3 linked regions of the Coturnix japonica genome follow. The protein of the gene in region 2 interacts with the protein of the main gene of each other region in a pairwise test. Links are inferred from orthologs where the notes say so. Each region holds a gene or a part of one and is shown on either strand. Other genes may lie near its edges. The genes, in order: CRYBB2, CRYAB and LBH.

Evidence for each region.
Region 1: the proteins of CRYAB (region 2) and CRYBB2 interact in a two-hybrid assay, tested with the Homo sapiens proteins (2 studies listed by BioGRID and IntAct). The link is inferred for Coturnix japonica from reciprocal best matches to the Homo sapiens genes CRYAB and CRYBB2.
Region 3: the proteins of CRYAB (region 2) and LBH interact in a two-hybrid assay, tested with the Homo sapiens proteins (2 studies listed by BioGRID, with this or other methods). The link is inferred for Coturnix japonica from reciprocal best matches to the Homo sapiens genes CRYAB and LBH.

What each region holds. Positions count from the first base shown.
Region 1 is NC_029530.1:6,102,485-6,107,441, forward strand, and holds CRYBB2 (beta-crystallin B2), read left to right. Parts: upstream 1-1,644; 5' UTR 1,645-1,773; intron 1,774-2,144; 5' UTR 2,145-2,165; coding exon 2,166-2,219; intron 2,220-2,543; coding exon 2,544-2,662; intron 2,663-2,839; coding exon 2,840-3,014; intron 3,015-3,260; coding exon 3,261-3,403; intron 3,404-3,556; coding exon 3,557-3,725; 3' UTR 3,726-3,850; downstream 3,851-4,957. UniProt on the Homo sapiens protein: Crystallins are the dominant structural components of the vertebrate eye lens.
Region 2 is NC_029539.1:5,448,935-5,454,278, reverse strand, and holds the start of CRYAB (alpha-crystallin B chain), read right to left. Parts: upstream 3,555-5,344; 5' UTR 3,352-3,554; coding exon 3,154-3,351; intron 3,078-3,153; exon of another isoform or gene 2,144-3,077; intron 1,609-2,143; coding exon 1,486-1,608; intron 353-1,485; coding exon 149-352; 3' UTR 1-148. Other genes in the region: HSPB2 (heat shock protein beta-2), read left to right, coding at 4,970-5,243. UniProt on the Homo sapiens protein: May contribute to the transparency and refractive index of the lens. Has chaperone-like activity, preventing aggregation of various proteins under a wide range of stress conditions.
Region 3 is NC_029518.1:9,687,247-9,692,594, reverse strand, and holds the start of LBH (protein LBH), read left to right. Parts: upstream 1-2,176; 5' UTR 2,177-2,302; coding exon 2,303-2,328; intron 2,329-2,498; coding exon 2,499-2,601; intron 2,602-5,348. UniProt on the Homo sapiens protein: Transcriptional activator which may act in mitogen-activated protein kinase signaling pathway.

The sequences.
Region 1 (4,957 bases), on a different chromosome or scaffold from region 2:
GGCTGTGCCCCATGTATAAACCCCCCAGAGCCCTACACAGCCCCTCAGCCTCCTGTGCATCCCTCATCCCTGGGGCTGTTCCTGCACTGCACACTGCAGCACTCAGCCACCTACAGAGCTGTTGCTCCCCAGGCTGATCTCCCCAGTTCTTCCCAACAGCCACTTTGGTTGCAAATGCATTTTGTGCTGCGTGTCCCACTGTGAGCTCAGTGCTGGCATGACCTTGGCTGTGAACATGGCCCCGGTGCCAACCAGGTGCACGGAGCATCTCTTGTGCCCTGCCCTGCTGCTCCTGCAGTGCTGGGTTGGGCTGCCCTGGATGGGACAGGCAGGAGGGCTGAGCCTTGAGGCCAACTTCTGGACCCTGTTGTGAGTCCTAAAATTAGAGGAGGACACATCCTGACACTTGTGTGGGTACCATGAGCAGCTGCATGGGGCATGGAAGCGGTAATGGTGTCTGGGACTGGCAGCAGGGATGGCAGATGGGTCACAGCTGCCTGAACACCCCACATGTGTGGTTGTATGGGACACATGGGGACATATTAGTGGGCACAGTGGGGGTGGGTTTGAGTTGGACCAGATAAAGACCTTTCTCTACCCACTTTTACGGTTCTCTTCTTGGTGCTGGGGCACATGCCGTCACCCTGGGCTGGGGGTTCCCTTGTGTGGGATGCTGGTGGCAGCTGAGCATGGGGCCACTCATCACACTGTATGACTCTGCCCCCAGCACTGGGGATGGAGAAGGATCCTGCTCTGGATGTTTCATCAATAGATCATGTACCAGAGCTGCCAAAAGCCATCCCTCATGTGAAGCAGCTTCCTGCACTCACAGCTCTATGTGGCCCCATGGTGGGGCTTCCTGAGCCCCACATTGTGCTCAGATTGTGGCACTGACTCCATGTGCTGCATCAGGGCGAGTGTTGATGGACATCCTCAGGCAGAGGAGCTCTGGGGTCCTTCCATGATGCTGGGACAGGAGGAGCTGCAGGTGGGGGTACAGACCCTGCAGAACACCCTGGAAGTGCTACTCTGCTCTGTGCTAATGCTGTGTGCCACAAGGGGTGACAAGGGAGGGGTCTGCTGCTGCTAGGGGAACTCAGAGCCATGAGCCCCCCAGGAAAAACAGCTTGGACACAAGTGGGATCCTGCAGGCACCGTGTAGGTGCAGAGCTTGCAGGATCCAACAGCGTCTTTGTCCCCATGTGCTGATGGGACCCACACTGAGTCACTGCTGGGGGCCCCAAAAAGGGGTTGGGGCTACAGGAGGACCCCCCAGAGCTCACCCAGCTCAACACAGTGCTGGGTAACTCAGGTGGTTTGCAGTCGGAGCCCTCGGGTTGGCATTGCAGGAGGGAAGTGCTGAGGGCAGCAGTTGGGGCGCTCGCGGCGGTTTGTCGGAGGGATCAATTCCCTGGCTCCAAAACTCCTGAAGCAGGGCTGGCGGGCCTTTGTTCACACAAGGGTCGCTCTGGGTCTTGGCATGCGTTCGGCTGATGCATGCAAACTCCAAATCTCCTTGCCAACAAACCCAACAAAGCGGGTGAGGCGAATGTGAAAGCTAATGAAATAACTCCGACTTGGGGGTTTCGGGAGACAATGGCCCGGCGGGGTCAGCTGACCGAGGTTTTCATTGGGGTTTAATCCAGCATTCTCGCTTTGAATCATGCTGTAGCTATTTGGTAAATAGTCTGGGCATGGTTCTGCTGTGAGGCGGTATAAATTCCACCTCTCGGCCCCAGCCCTCCACTGGCTCAGGCGGTACTGGTCTCACTGGTAAGGATTCTCTCTTTTTGTCCTATCCTTTCTGGGTTCGTTTCTACCCTGTCTTGTAGTTTTCACCTGGACAACTGGGCAACCCATGGGCAGTGCTGCCCAAAGCTGGGCACTAAGTCAGACATAAGACTTTTGACCAGAACCGCCCCATTTTGTGGCTGTTTGGTGCACAGAGCCCATCCCAGCTCTGCGCTGGGACCCTCACTCACCCCATGGGGAACAGGGCTTCAACCTACGAGCAGCACAGTGGGGGACGTGGTCAGGCTGGGGGTCAGCATGGTTCAGCGCTGGGTATGGGGTGCAGATGTGGGCACAGAGCTGGGGCCACAAGCACAGTCTGGTAGCCATTAATGCTGAGCTTCCCCCCAAAGAAGCAGCGTGCCCAGCTGAGCATGGCTTCCGAACACCAGATGCCGGCCTCCAAGCAGCAGCCCGCCAGCTCCAAGGTCAGTCTGTGGGACTGGGGTACCCCGAGCCCCTCTGGGCTCCCCAACTGCAGCTCCAATGCTGGGGTGGCCATGAGGCTGCTCTGCCCTTTGGGGTGTCATCTATGACCAAGGCATCCCAGGGACCTGGGATCTGATTCCAGTCCCCTGCCATCCCCACAGATGTGATCTGAGATGAGATCTCCTGCTGCCCCACTGAACCATGAAATCAGTGTTGAGCTGGCAGCTGGTTGTGCCATGAGGGTGGGGGGCCCTATGGTCAGTGCCTGTGTTTTGGGGTCAGTGTGGGCCATGCCCTGCTCTCATGGCCACGTTCTCCTGCAGATTGCCATCTTCGAGCAGGAGAACTTCCAGGGCCGCTGCCATGAGCTCAGTGGTGCCTGCCCCAACCTGAAGGATGCCGGTGTGGACAAAGTGGGCTCCATTCTGGTGCACTCTGGACCGTACGTTGGTGGAGGTTTGGGCTCCAGGGGGGAGGGATATACCTGGGTTTGCCTTAGATGGAGGCTGCTCCCCCTGCACTGCAGTGCTCATTGGGTTTTATAGGATGTTGAAGAGGGGGCATGGCTGGGGGGCTCATCCCAGCCCCCCCTTGAAGCCCACCCTCTGCTCCCTTCCAGCTGGGTGGGCTACGAGCAGGCAAGCTGCAAGGGTGAGCAGTTTGTGTTTGAGAAGGGGGAGTACCCCCGCTGGGACTCCTGGACCAACAGCCGGAGAAGTGACAGCATCACCTCCCTGAGACCCATCAAAGTGGTGAGAGCACCCCGACAGCCACTACCCACCCGCCAGACCAAGGTCTGCAGCCCGATGGCTTCCCCCGCCTTCCCCCGCCCTCCCCAGCCCCGCGGGCGGAGGGGCAGAACTCAGGGACCCCCAGGGGGTGGTTGGGATGGGGAGTGGTGCCCCGAGAGCTGAGGGTGGCTGCTGGGGGGCGCGGCGGGGGGACCCCTTGCCTCAGTTTCCCCACGGCCCCAAGCTTTGCCCCCTGCCCAGCCCTGGGGCTGGCAGTGCTGATCCCCACCTCCACTCTCCCCACTGCAGGACAGCCAGGAGCACAAGATTGTGCTGTATGAGAACCCCAGCTTCACCGGCAAGAAAATTGAGATCATCGATGACGATGTGCCCAGCTTCCATGCGCATGGCTACCAGGAGAAGGTCTCCTCTGTGAGGGTGCAGAGTGGCACGTGAGTATGGGGCGAGGGGAGCCAATGATGTGCCCACGTGGCACCACGCTATGACCATCCCGTGGCCATTGGGTTGTATTGTGGCCATTGGGTTGTGTTGTGGCCACTGGGCCGCGTCATGGCCATTGAGTCATGCCTTGTGCTTGCCCGCAGGTGGGTGGGCTATCAGTACCCTGGCTACCGAGGCTACCAGTACCTCTTTGAGAAGGGTGACTACAAAGACAGCTCCGAGTTCGGTGCCCAGCACCCTCAGATCCAGTCGGTGCGGCGCATTCGGGACATGCAGTGGCATCAGCGCGGCGCTTATCACCCCTCCAACTGAAGGCCCTGCACTGCCGGGCACAGGGGGCTGAGCGCTGCCCCCACCTGCCGCTGCCCCCACGGCCTCACTTCCCATCTCCCTCCGTGTGAGTCACACCGCAACCGAATAAAGCTTGGAGTTGCAAAGTTGCTGGTCCGGGTCCTTCCTTGGTGGGCACCCAGTGGTCACCTCCCTGTGTATGGGCTGTGGGGATGGAGATGCTCGCATCACCGTGGGGTCTGCAGGGTGGGTGGGTGTCCAGCCTGCACAGCTGTCCTCAGAGCACCCTGGTGGCTGGGTGGATACCTCAATGCTTAATAAAGCAGTTATTAAGCACTACTGATGCTTAATAGTGTTGCTTAATGACTTCTTTAACCCATAATAAGCCTGTAATTTAGCATTAAAAACACTAAATAGCACCTCAATCATTTGCACTCTGAGTTGAGCTGCTGAGCGCCAGCTCCAGTGCAGCACTGCATGCAGGGCTGTGGGGACTGCACAGCTGCAGCACTTCTTGGTTCCCCCCTGCAGCATCACCATGGCTGCGTGTTGCAGTGCATGCACGCAGAGCTGCACCTGGAGCAAGAGGTGCAGGATACAAGGGTGGGTGGCACAGCTGGGTTGAGTGCATTACTTGTACCCAAGCATGGGCTCCAATGGGGTCTGATGGAGACACAGGCACAGCAGCCATATCCCTGCACATGGGGATGCTCTGCTGTGGGTTTGGCACCGATGCAGCCAAATGGGGACACCAGGGGCTGTCAGCCCTACAAGTGGGGCTTTGCACCCCCATGCCCCGCATCACCATCGGCTCTGGCACAGCCCCACACTGTGCAGCATTAATCATCCACCAAATGCCGCTCGGAAATGTCAGCCCCGCTGTGCATCGTGCTTGGCAGCGCCTCGCTGCGTCGCCTCGGCGGAACCGGCTGCCTGCAGATATCTGTGCCAAGGGAAAAACATCAGAACCATCCCAGCACTGAGCATTTCTGCTGGGAGAAACGGGTTTGATGAGCGTGCTGACACTGCCCATGTGCTGCTGCCATTGCCGGGTCCCAGCAGAGGGGTTTGGGCTGTCAGGAGGAAACTGCAGCATCTGGGAGGGGGGAAACATCACTGTAAGAGTGGGGTAAGGAGACACAGGGGGTCTCAAGGGAAAGCAATGACAGCAGCAGGGGAAAATGTGAGTGTGTTGGAGGAGGCACCTCCCTGACCTGATCTGCTGGGGGATTTCCCTCTCACCACTCTCACAT
Region 2 (5,344 bases):
CTCCAAACGAAAAAATACAGAGTGCTTATTCATGTTTTATTTGTTAGTAAATTTACTCAGCATAAATAAACAAGAGTGGCCATTGAGTACAGCTGGCATCTGATGGGAAGTGCTCTTGAATGGCCTTGGCATGACGTTATATAGCAGCCTACTTCCTCTGGGATCCTGCAATGGCAGGCTTCTCTTCACGGGTGATAGGAATATTGCGCTCAGGGACGTCGCTTTGTTTCCTTGGTGCGGTCACTGTCAGGACTCCATCCAGAGAGAGTGATGAGGTTATGGTCAGGGGATCCACTTCAGCTGGGATCCTGTATTTCCTGCTGAACTCCCTGGCAATAAAGCCATGCTCATCCTTCAAAAAGAGAAGAGAAGAAACAGCCCTGATTAGAAGTGTTCCCTCAGCTCCACCTAAACTATGGGCCTTCAGCACATAGTCTGAGTTGAGAAAGCTTCAGCTCCCAAAAGAAAACTTTTCAGTAAGTTAAAAGAGTTTTTATTATGAGATTGCCTTTGTAAAAATCTGAGAAGAGCTGAAGTGAGATTACCCTGCCCCTGCAGGTGGTGCAGGCACCCTTTGCAGGATGAGGCTTTCTCCTCCAGCTCTTGTGTCTGCCAGCTTCGTTTCACAGTGTTGTGCTGTCATGGCTAAGATGCAGGAGTTACAGCTACCTGCAGAACCAGCAGCTCCTCCTCCTGAGGGTCTCCAGGGCCCACAGCATATGCAGCTCCCCAGTGAGCTCATCTCAGCTCTAGCTCTGGATTCATTTCTTAGCCAAAACAAACAAAAAACAAACAAACAAAAAAAACCCCGCAGAAGCTATTTCAGAATTACAGGCTTCCAGTGTCTATGAGTAGTGCTGCATTTGACTGACAGATCTGGGCACCCAGAAGTTTTGGAGCTGATGGGTACAATGATACAGGTACTTTAGGATTTGTTTCCTTCTTGCAAGGATAGGAGGATAGGTAATCCCTGTTACATACAGCTTTGGACGTGGCTTTTGGCCTCTCTTTGACCTTTTGCCACAGAGCCAGTAAGCAATGGGATGGCTGACAGCAGAGTACAGCCTTTAAGGACTGTAAGTTGGTAAATGGGTATTTTTTCAAGAAGAGATAGCTTCTTGCTAATGGAACATGGCAATGCATTCATTCGTTATGCGGTTTAATTATTACAGCTCATTGTTAACTTATTGAATGCTTCTCTGCATTCCTGTCCTCTTCCAGAAAGAGGGAGGCCCGGAAATGCTTATTTCAAAGTTGATTTTCCAGTTCAGTTCACAGTTCATGCAATACCAGCACTAAATCTCCACTCTGCTGCTGCCCAGTCTGGGATCAGCTGGGGGTTTGCATAGAGCATCTTCCATTAGGACTGGTTGATCAAAAACACTGGAAGTGTTTCAGAAGAGCACAGAGGAGGATTGTTCTGCAGCTTCCTTGTTTAACCATAGGTGAAGAAGCACACATTGGTTAACAGTGACACAGAAGTACCTGGCGCTCCTCGTGTTTCCCATGAATTTCTATCATGTCCCCAATCACCTTCACTTTTAGCTCCTCGGGGGAGAAATGCTTCACATCAAGATTTACAGAAAATTTGTCTTTCTCCAGTCGCATCTGTAAAACAAGGAGACGACTTCAGGCAGAGGTTTCAGCTTCATCAGACTCTCAACATGCAGCAAGTCACGCTCACGCTGGGCTCCCCACACGCACTGTCTGACCTCCTGTTTTCAGTCCTGGGGTTCTCATCTGGCTCTTGCTAGCCTGTTCCATTCATGCCCACCACTACAGCACATAAAACATGATGCTTTCTCTCTGGATAAACAGAGAATAGATATTTTCTGGGAAATAAGAAAGAGACTTTCTCAATCTGAATTTGTTAAAACTGACTCCTATCTACTTTTTCTGAGGTGTCTGGAGATTTCCAGTCTCTGCAGCTGGATTTTGCTAAGTCTTTCTGGAAAAAGAAACAGAGTGTGCAGCTGGCTGCAGCTCATCTGTGTCACTTGCAGGCTTTCCCCTGCGTCGTCACTCTTTAAAAACAAAAATAGCGTGTCTCAGCTGAGCAGCACTACCAGCTCACCCCTCTTATCTGAGCAGCAGGGCTACTGCTGAAACTCTGAGTCACCTGCTGCTCATCTTGCATCCTTACCTTCCATTCTGCACTTTATCATCTCCAGCAAATGCTGCTTTTTGCTTGCTCCTGAGGTTGAATTTGCATTTTCTGCCTGTCTTGGATAAGTCAGTGGGACACGGCAATGCAGGCTGGCTGTCTCTGCCTTCCTGCTGCAGTCACAGTCAGGGAAAACGCGAGCCTCCTGCAGCTCTGTTTTGGGACATGGAGGCAGCTTCCATGCCAGTTCTAGCTTTCTGGTTACTGGTTTCCTCAGTTTTACCTGGAGGGCTTCCTGCTCCTTTTGCTAGATTACTGTGAAGATTTCTCCACTGAAAAAGTCAGATGTTGATGTTGTTACCTGTGGTGCTTATTATGGCTGCTTCAGCATATGACCAGACCAGGTGACTAAACCAAGGGAAACATTAAGCAAAGATTAAGAAAATACTTCCCTCTCACTCCACTGGCTTTGAGTAACTCTTTAAGTTATTTGCACATTGGCATCTGACCTGCATGCTGAGCAAAGTCATTTGAGCTGCGTGCCTCAGCCCCCGAAGCAGATGGCCATTTAAAGGTCCTCCCATCCCATATCTCTCTGAAAACACTGCTCTGCCTGGCAGAGATGCTTTAGCTTGGGCCTTTCTACTCAGCATCTGGGGGCTCCCATGCTGCCTGGCACGGGGTCCCACTGCCCCTCTGCTTCTCAGGAGGACGCAGAATGTAAAATTTTTCAGGGCAGACAGAGAAATCAGGCTTCCTCCTTTCTCTTGCTGGCTTCTACAGTCATTCACAGCACACACACAGCTCAGTTTGTCTCTGTGCCCATGGCTGTGGCAATATTTGCTCTCAGTTACAAGTGATTAGCAGAGAGTGCAGAGGTCCTTGCCTAACACCAAGGAGCAGAGGCAAGAACTCAGCACTCTTTTCCTCATAATAGATTTCCTATTAACTACCTACAAGCAGTGTCCCAGCTCTCCCGGGTCCCCAGCTCCAGACCCGTCAGGATGTGCACCTAGTGGTAACAAGAAACAGTAAGCAAGGAAGATTACCTCTGAGAGTCCCGTCTCCAGCCAACTGGGCATCCGAAAGAAGGGGGATCTCATCAGGAAGGGGCTGAAGCTGGGGGACGTAGGGAGCAGCTCTGACTCCTGCAGGTGCTCTCCAAATAGCTGGTCAAAGATACGGCTCGGTGTTAACCAAGAAAACAGAGGTCTGCGGATCAGGGGGTTGTGAATGGTGATATCCATCGGAGTGCGACAGAGGAGCCAAGCAAACAACTGCTGCGGTGCTGTGCCCAGCACAGGGGGCAGCTTTATACCCGTGCGGCTGGCGGGGCCTCTCCCCCCGAGGCCTCTCAAATAGTGGTGTCAGGGATTTTATTGTCCCAGTCCGGGACTGGTCCCTTCAGCAGTGCCCAGGAGCGTCCGGGGGTTTGAACAGACTGCTAAGGAGGAGGGGGAAGGGGAGAAGAAGGACACTAATGGGACAGCAAGAAGCCAAGCTGCCCAGCCACCCTCTCTGCACCCCACGTGCTGTTTATCTGTTGAGTCCCAGGCAGGCTTGGCGGATGTTCCCAGCTGCTTTGGATGCCAGCAGGATCAATGCAGCTCCTATCTTTGGTTCACATGGAAAAGGACAAGGGACTGTTGTTCCCAGTGACGGCACCAAGGCTACAGTTCCCCACTGCACCCACGCGCCAAGGAAGGGCTCTGCCTTCCCTTAAAGTGAAGGAAGCCCCAGGCCTTAATGAGAGGGCAACATGGACCCCAAAAGGTCTGTGCTGAGGTACCCTGGTGTGCAGCTCTGCAGCCTGGTGAGCACCATACCTGAGCACCTGCTGGTGTGTGCACACTAAGGATGGTTTCCACAGAGCATCAGCTGACAACTCTTGTCCTTTGCCCACTCGAGAAATCGCTCTGCTGGAGAGGGCAGAAGAGCCCAGCACCCTGTGAGCAGAGATAAAGCAGGCACACAGCAGCCCTGCAGAGCTGCACCACTGCTTGCCTTCTCTGGGATGCAAACTACCTTGATCTGCCTGTGCCCAGCAGCTATCAGTTCAGATCATGAGGCTGGGTTCAGCCCAGCAGCTGTCCTTTAAGGACAAGAGCTCTGATTATCTGCAACTTAAATACAGACTTCTGGCTTGAGGGCACATGATTCTCACTGCTAGCACCACCGGTCCCCTGCAAAAGGGCTCGACTCTCTTCCTGTTCACTTGCCTGCAAGATTAGGGTGTAGAATTCTCTCTGCAGAAGCCCCAGCCATAAATACTTTATCCAGTTCCATGTTACGTCAGCAGTAGTGCACCTGCTCTCTCGCACTGCAGAGACATGGAAATCTCTGGTTTCAGAGTACAAGGAGCTTAAATGGGTACTAACACCCAGTTTAGTAAAAGTGGATCTAGGCCAGTTTCAGACTCTGGTTAATGCACCACCTCCAGCACAGGCATTTCTCTGGTCCCACTGAGCAGCACTGAAGCCCTGGCCAAGGCACAGCCTGGTCAGCTGGCTCACAGTGGCACAGTTCTGGAGTGTCAGCATCATGGTCTGCACCCTGTTCAGTGCCACTTAGCGGTCTGCAGCACCTTACCACTCCCAGGAACAAAAGACTCAGCTTCTGGGGGAAACAGATCCCTTTCTGTGGGGTTGATATGAGCGATAAACTCACAGCGATGACTTTGCATGACTGCACACAACCTGACCAAGCATCAGCCACCATTAGGCATAGCCCTGTGCCCTGCTGGGTTGGCAGGGGCAGTGCTGGGTGCCCTGTTCCTGCCTCTTGTTCCCTGCCCAAGGTGGAGAGCCAGGGGGTGCAGGATTGCACCCCGCCGGCAGTCAGAGCCTGCAGCTCTACAGGAATGCAATGAGGAGCTGCCCTCGTCACCCTGGCGAGGCGGCCCGGGGCCTGTGTGCACAGCTATTTTGGTCCGTCTTTTTATCACACACTCCTCCCTGTGGAATTCACCCAACTAAAACCTTGCAATCTGCAGCCTTCGCTCTCAGAGGCAGTGAGAGCTTGGACAGGCCTGTTCCTCAGCTTGCCATGGCCGCGCGGACGGTGCCCCACGCCTACCCCATGAGCTCAGAGTACGAGTTCGCCAACCCCAGCAAGATCTACGACCAGAACTTTGGAGAAGGTAAGCAGGGAGATGGGACCCCCAGCAGTTCTCTGTCTTCAGGTGCAGGGGGCTGATAGAGTCCCTCTGGGGAGGAGCTTCAGGATCCAAGGAAGACCAAG
Region 3 (5,348 bases), on a different chromosome or scaffold from region 2:
CACCTGCCTGCAAGCAGGGAGCCAAGCACCAGTGGGACACGCTGGGAATGAAATACATCCGTTAATAAATAAAACCTGAGTGCAACAAAAAGGGGGAGGGTGGTGATTCAGTGAAGGATCCAATTTTTCAAATGAAGATATTTTCCATACACCGATTCTGGCCAAAACGCATTTCATTTACGCTGACAGGATATAAATACCAACACAGACACACTTTGTTCCCAGTTTGCCCTTCTGTGTTCCTGCTGCATCCAGGCCTTGCTACACGTCTGCTGCCTCTTTGCTGGGGCTGTGCTGGGCAGGGGAGGGCAGCCCATTGCTCCGTGTTCCTCAGCACTGGTGGCTGGTGTGAGCACAGAGCAAGCTCTGCAGGTTCAGAAGGCTGCAGTGAAATGACATTTTAGATATATCATCTGTGTGTGTAACGCAGAAATACCGTGCTAGGTGTCAGCAGGGCCAGGTTTGGCAGAACAGACGTGATGCCTCTTGCAGTAGGCACCAGAAGGAGGTGCTAGCGGGACACATATATGAGCCAAGTGAGGGCTCTCTGAGCACCAAGCTCTGCTTTCAGGCCTGATCCTGCCTTGCTCAGCACACACTTGAATGCATCCAAGCCCAGGGTGCTGGGTGAGACACTGGCCAGCAGGGACAGTGTTCACGTGATGCATCATCATTAGCAACAGAGAAGAAAAGAAAGTCAGGTGGAAAATGGGCTTGTTGCATGGCTACTTCTGGGTTCCTGAACCAGTGGTATGTCTGTGACCTCCATCCCATCCTCCCTTCTGCTCTCCTTTGCTCACCCACCACAGCTGGGCCAGCAAAGGTCCCAAACCAGCAAAGCTCTACAGCCAAAGCCTATTGATCAGGACAAGCCCGAGGGCTCTGGCACACAGGACCACTCACCCACCAGCCCCTCTAGGCCTTCTGCTCCCTTTTTTTTTCAAGCATGGGCCAGTAGTCACTGCAAAAGGCAACACTGTGCAGAAAATGGCTGGAAGGAAAGAGTGGCAGCCTTTTATTTCTATTTTTTTTTTTTTTTACATGAGGAAATAAATAGGGCATGTCCTTTAGCCAGTGTCAGGAGGAAGGGGTCAGTGCCAGGTGGGGCAGCATGCAGGTCTTATGTTCCAGTGGTCAGTTCCAAGTGAGGAGTTTATTTGCTTAGATACTTTCCCTGAAGGACATGGGGCTGTGAGCTCCTGTGAGCCGGATGGAGGCGAAAACATGGGTGTCATGGCACCAGTGATGGCTGCTTGAGCAGCCCGACCCATCCCTTGGCCAGAAGGATACTGCAGTGTGTGTGGATGCAGGGGATCTGAGATGGCAGAGATGCCGTGGACCCCACAGCTACCACACCATCAACCCCAGAGCTGTCTGCCTTCATGCAAGTGAATGTAAATGCAATGAGAAGCCCCCGAGGACTTCTTAAAGGTGGGACAGAGCTGCAGTGCTGCCAGTGCACACCTCAGCCAGAGCAGATCTCTCTTCTCGTGCTTCAGCCCTTCTCCAAAAGGACAATTAATGTACCTATGGCTAATTATATGGATGAGTCTCACAGCGGCTTCCTGCCAAAGAGAGCACTAACAGCAACAACCCTCAAGCTCCCGTGCTGAGCCTGAGCCAGGTTTGTTCCTGGTGGCATCGGAGGGAACTGAGCACCCCCAGCCCAGACGTCAATTGTTCAGCCTCAGAAACGTGCTTTGCAGGCTGAGCCTCGTCCAGCCTTAGGACAGAGCACAGCAGCCTTAGGACAGATCTCATCAGCCTTAGGACAGAGCCCACCAGCCTTAGGACAGATTCCATCAGCAGAGCAGTGAGGGACCCTCAGGGCTCACCTGTACCCACCTGAGCTCCCATGAGCTGGGTCAGCTCCTTGGGACTGGCAGTAATGTGACACAGGGGAGGAGATGCCTGATGTCAAACACCCACATACGCCATCATTATATAATATCAAACTAAGAAGCTTACAATATCCGGCCGGAGGAATCACACACACCTATGCCCGCATGCACACGTGTACGGAGCACAACCGAGGGCACCCATTGAACCTCGCAGCCATCTCCGAGCTCTGCCCCCCGGAGCGGCGCTCCGAAGCCATTCATGAAATGCTGCCGTCATTCGGAGGGGCGGGCACTGATGAGGCCATGCCCCCTCAGCTATTTAAGGCGGCTCGGCGCTGCCGCCGGGGCTCAGAGCTGCTGCGGCGTTTGGGTTCTCTGTGTGGTCCCGTCCAACATCAGCCTCGTGTGCCTCGGTGCCCTGCCGCCACCCCCAGGGCGTGGGCAGCCTCCGCAGGGACTTCATGTCTGTGCTTTGTCCCCTGCCCTGGTGAGTGGGCACTGCTGCCGCCCTATCCGGGGGTCGTGCGGCGGTGCTGAGCCCCGTTGTTCCGTCTCCTGCCCGCAGGAGTTGGTTGGGGTGGGGGCACGGAGGGAGCGGCGACCCTCGGTCCTCCCCGGAGCCCTGACGTTGGTCTGAATGATGTTCTTTGTTTCCAGCCCCGATTACCTGAGATCAGCCGAGATGACCGAAGTGATGATGAGCAGCCCGGCTATGGATGAGATCGGACTCAGCCCCCGTAAGGACGGGCTCTCGTATCAAGTGAGTATTCGATTCCCTGCGGAGCTGCCTGGGCTGGACCGTGGTGAATATTATAGCAAGTCCTGCAGTAAGGGCTGGTCAGTGAGCTGAGACGCTTGCTTGGCTAGTAGAATCTGTGTAAAATACGGCATAGTTATCTGCTCCGAGTGCTTAGCAGAGTGCTTTGTTCCTGAAGTGCCCAAATCCCAGCTTGTTGGGTGTGCACAGAGGCTCAGTGGGAGAGGAGATGCCCTGCCGGAAAGGTCCGTGTCAGACACCAGGCTGAGAGGCTGCTGGGGTCTCCACAACCATGGCTTGCAAATGAGTTGTCTGAAGCGGAAGGGACTTGTCTGTACAGCGCTTAAATCTTCCAAGCTATTCCTTGGTTTTCCCCCTGTTTGAAAGGGTTAAGTCTATTGTAAGATACAGAGAGGCTGGGTGCAGCGCTGACGAGCCTTGAGGTGTGCGTGCAAACACATTACCTGAAGGCATGAGCTGCATCCATTCTGCAACTGGTGAATAATGTAATTAGCTTTTAACCTCTTAGTCAATAGCTGAGGCAAAGGGGTGCTTTCAAACTCCAGCCTCTATCCTTCAGCCTCAGTGCTTCCAGTCAATCACAGGGTGAGCTGTGTATCTTTGCCTATTAGATCCAAGTTTCCCTACTCTGGCAGACTTGTTGGTGAGGTTTAATACATGCACAGCTCTTGTGTTACTCTGCACAGGGTGACTCTTCATGGCAGATTGCAGTACAGAGTTCTTCCTTTGCAGATGTGACACAGCCCATACGGAGGCACTTGCTCTACGTGGGCATTCGGATATTAGGTGTGCTGTTGTACACTTGCATATTTATGTCTGAAAAATGAGCTAGGAGCCTGTGACAGTGCTCTGAAGCATGAAATCAACAGAACTTTGGGCCGTGGCTCGGGCAGAAGCCAAAGCTGTGGGAGGGGAGGGGGGGGGAGGATAAATAGGGTTGCATTGCTTTTTTTGGTCAGAATTCTCCATCTGAACAGTGCAAATAATTTGGTTTATTGCCTGTTTGTGGAAATAGCTGTTTTGTTTTAGTGCTTGAGTTAGTGGAAAGCATATGGCCTCGCTTTCCTCTGCTATAGAGAATGTGTAACTGCAGTGGGAATGGCTGTGAGAGTTGAAGCTATTGCACTAGTCTTTGCCAGATGTTCAAACAAGTGTCTTAAATGGGGCACTGTATGCAGGCCCACTCAGGTCTGATATTGGTTTGCTTATCTAAACAGTGGGAGACAGATGGATGCCCCACTTATTCATGACTGATAGCTTCAGTGAGGTTTTACCCCTAGTGCTGATGCCCTCAGTGAGTCTGTGAACTGGAGAGCAAACCTGCAGCTTTGAGTGGATCATCTGAACCTGAGGGTGCTGTAAATGCAACGACTCACATCTATGCAGGACTTGTCTATCTTGGATCTGTTCTCTGTAGTGATCTGGTCACAGGGTTCTCAGTGCCCACAGGAGCTGCTAACTGCCTGCTAGACTTTGGCTTCCTTGTAAGCTGAACTGATGGCAGAAAGGCCTGGAGTATTGAGAGGGCAGCTGCTGCTGAGCGGTGTGTGGGCTGGGGATGAGGTCTGCCTCTAAATCAGGTTAGTGCAAAGAAGATTGAGAGTAGGTTGCAACCTTCTTCCTTTTAACTGCGTGGCTGAAAATGTGGCTGTGCAAAGTGAGAAGTTGAAATCATCCTTAAGCAGCTGAAAATTGAAGTTAAAATAGCAAGGACAAATCAAGTGCAAATAGTATCACAAACCTGTTTTGTCTTGGGGTTTGGAACTTCTTGCTTCGTCCTGCTGATGGAGGGCGTTGGGTATGTGTGAAATGGTATGCTGCTCTGAGAGCTGTAGTGCAATAACTTAAAACCAGGCAGAGCTAACAGAGCATGACTGCTCTGGCTCTGAGGCTTGAGCTAAGCTGCAGCATCCTCCCTCACCCACCTGCAGAGCAGCGTGCTCACAGTGAGTGTGACCACTCTTGGCTACAGGAAAAGAAACAGTGGATCCAGAGCTATGAGAGCTGAGCTTCTAGTTTCCAGAGCTTCTTATGTAGTAGAACTTGGATTTGTTCTCCTGCAGAGATGACATGAAGCTGGGGTCCATTGTGCTGCCCTTGGGGCTGTGCGGAGAAGGATCTGGGACCTACCTCATCAATTACTGTTCTGAAGTACTTTTGTTTTCCTAGTAAAGCCTTGGAAGTAAACTGAGGAAACCAACACCTCCAGAGCGTAAACAAGCAGTTGGGTTCTTTCACCCCATAATACTGAACATCAGGTCTCCTGCCTGTCTCACTGGTTACCTTCTGATGGAACTTGTGGCTCGTCAGCTTTTCTTCTACCCTCTCCGTGTCTCATATCACACTCCAGAGTGTGCTTATATGTCCCCATGAGGTGTGCATCCCCCAGCCATGTTTCCTGGTGTTCTTTAGGTTGGACACGACTGTGATGATGTGAAAACCTGAGCTGCAGAAGTCTCATACCTATGATAACTGAGCTGTCTGTGTAGGCTTAGTAATTTGTATGTGGTTTCATTTGCACAATGTGCTTTCTCAGCACAGATACCTTTTTCCAGTTAGCGTGCCAAATGCTTGCAAGCTGATGTGCAAACTTCAAAGCCTTTTAGTACGGAGCGGCTTTTATTCCTGCATCTGTGAAGTAAAGCTGCTCTGAGCCTACTGAAGGTGGTGGAAGTGAATGGGGAAATCTGGATGCGAGTCTCGGAGCAGGGAGGCACAGACAAAACAGA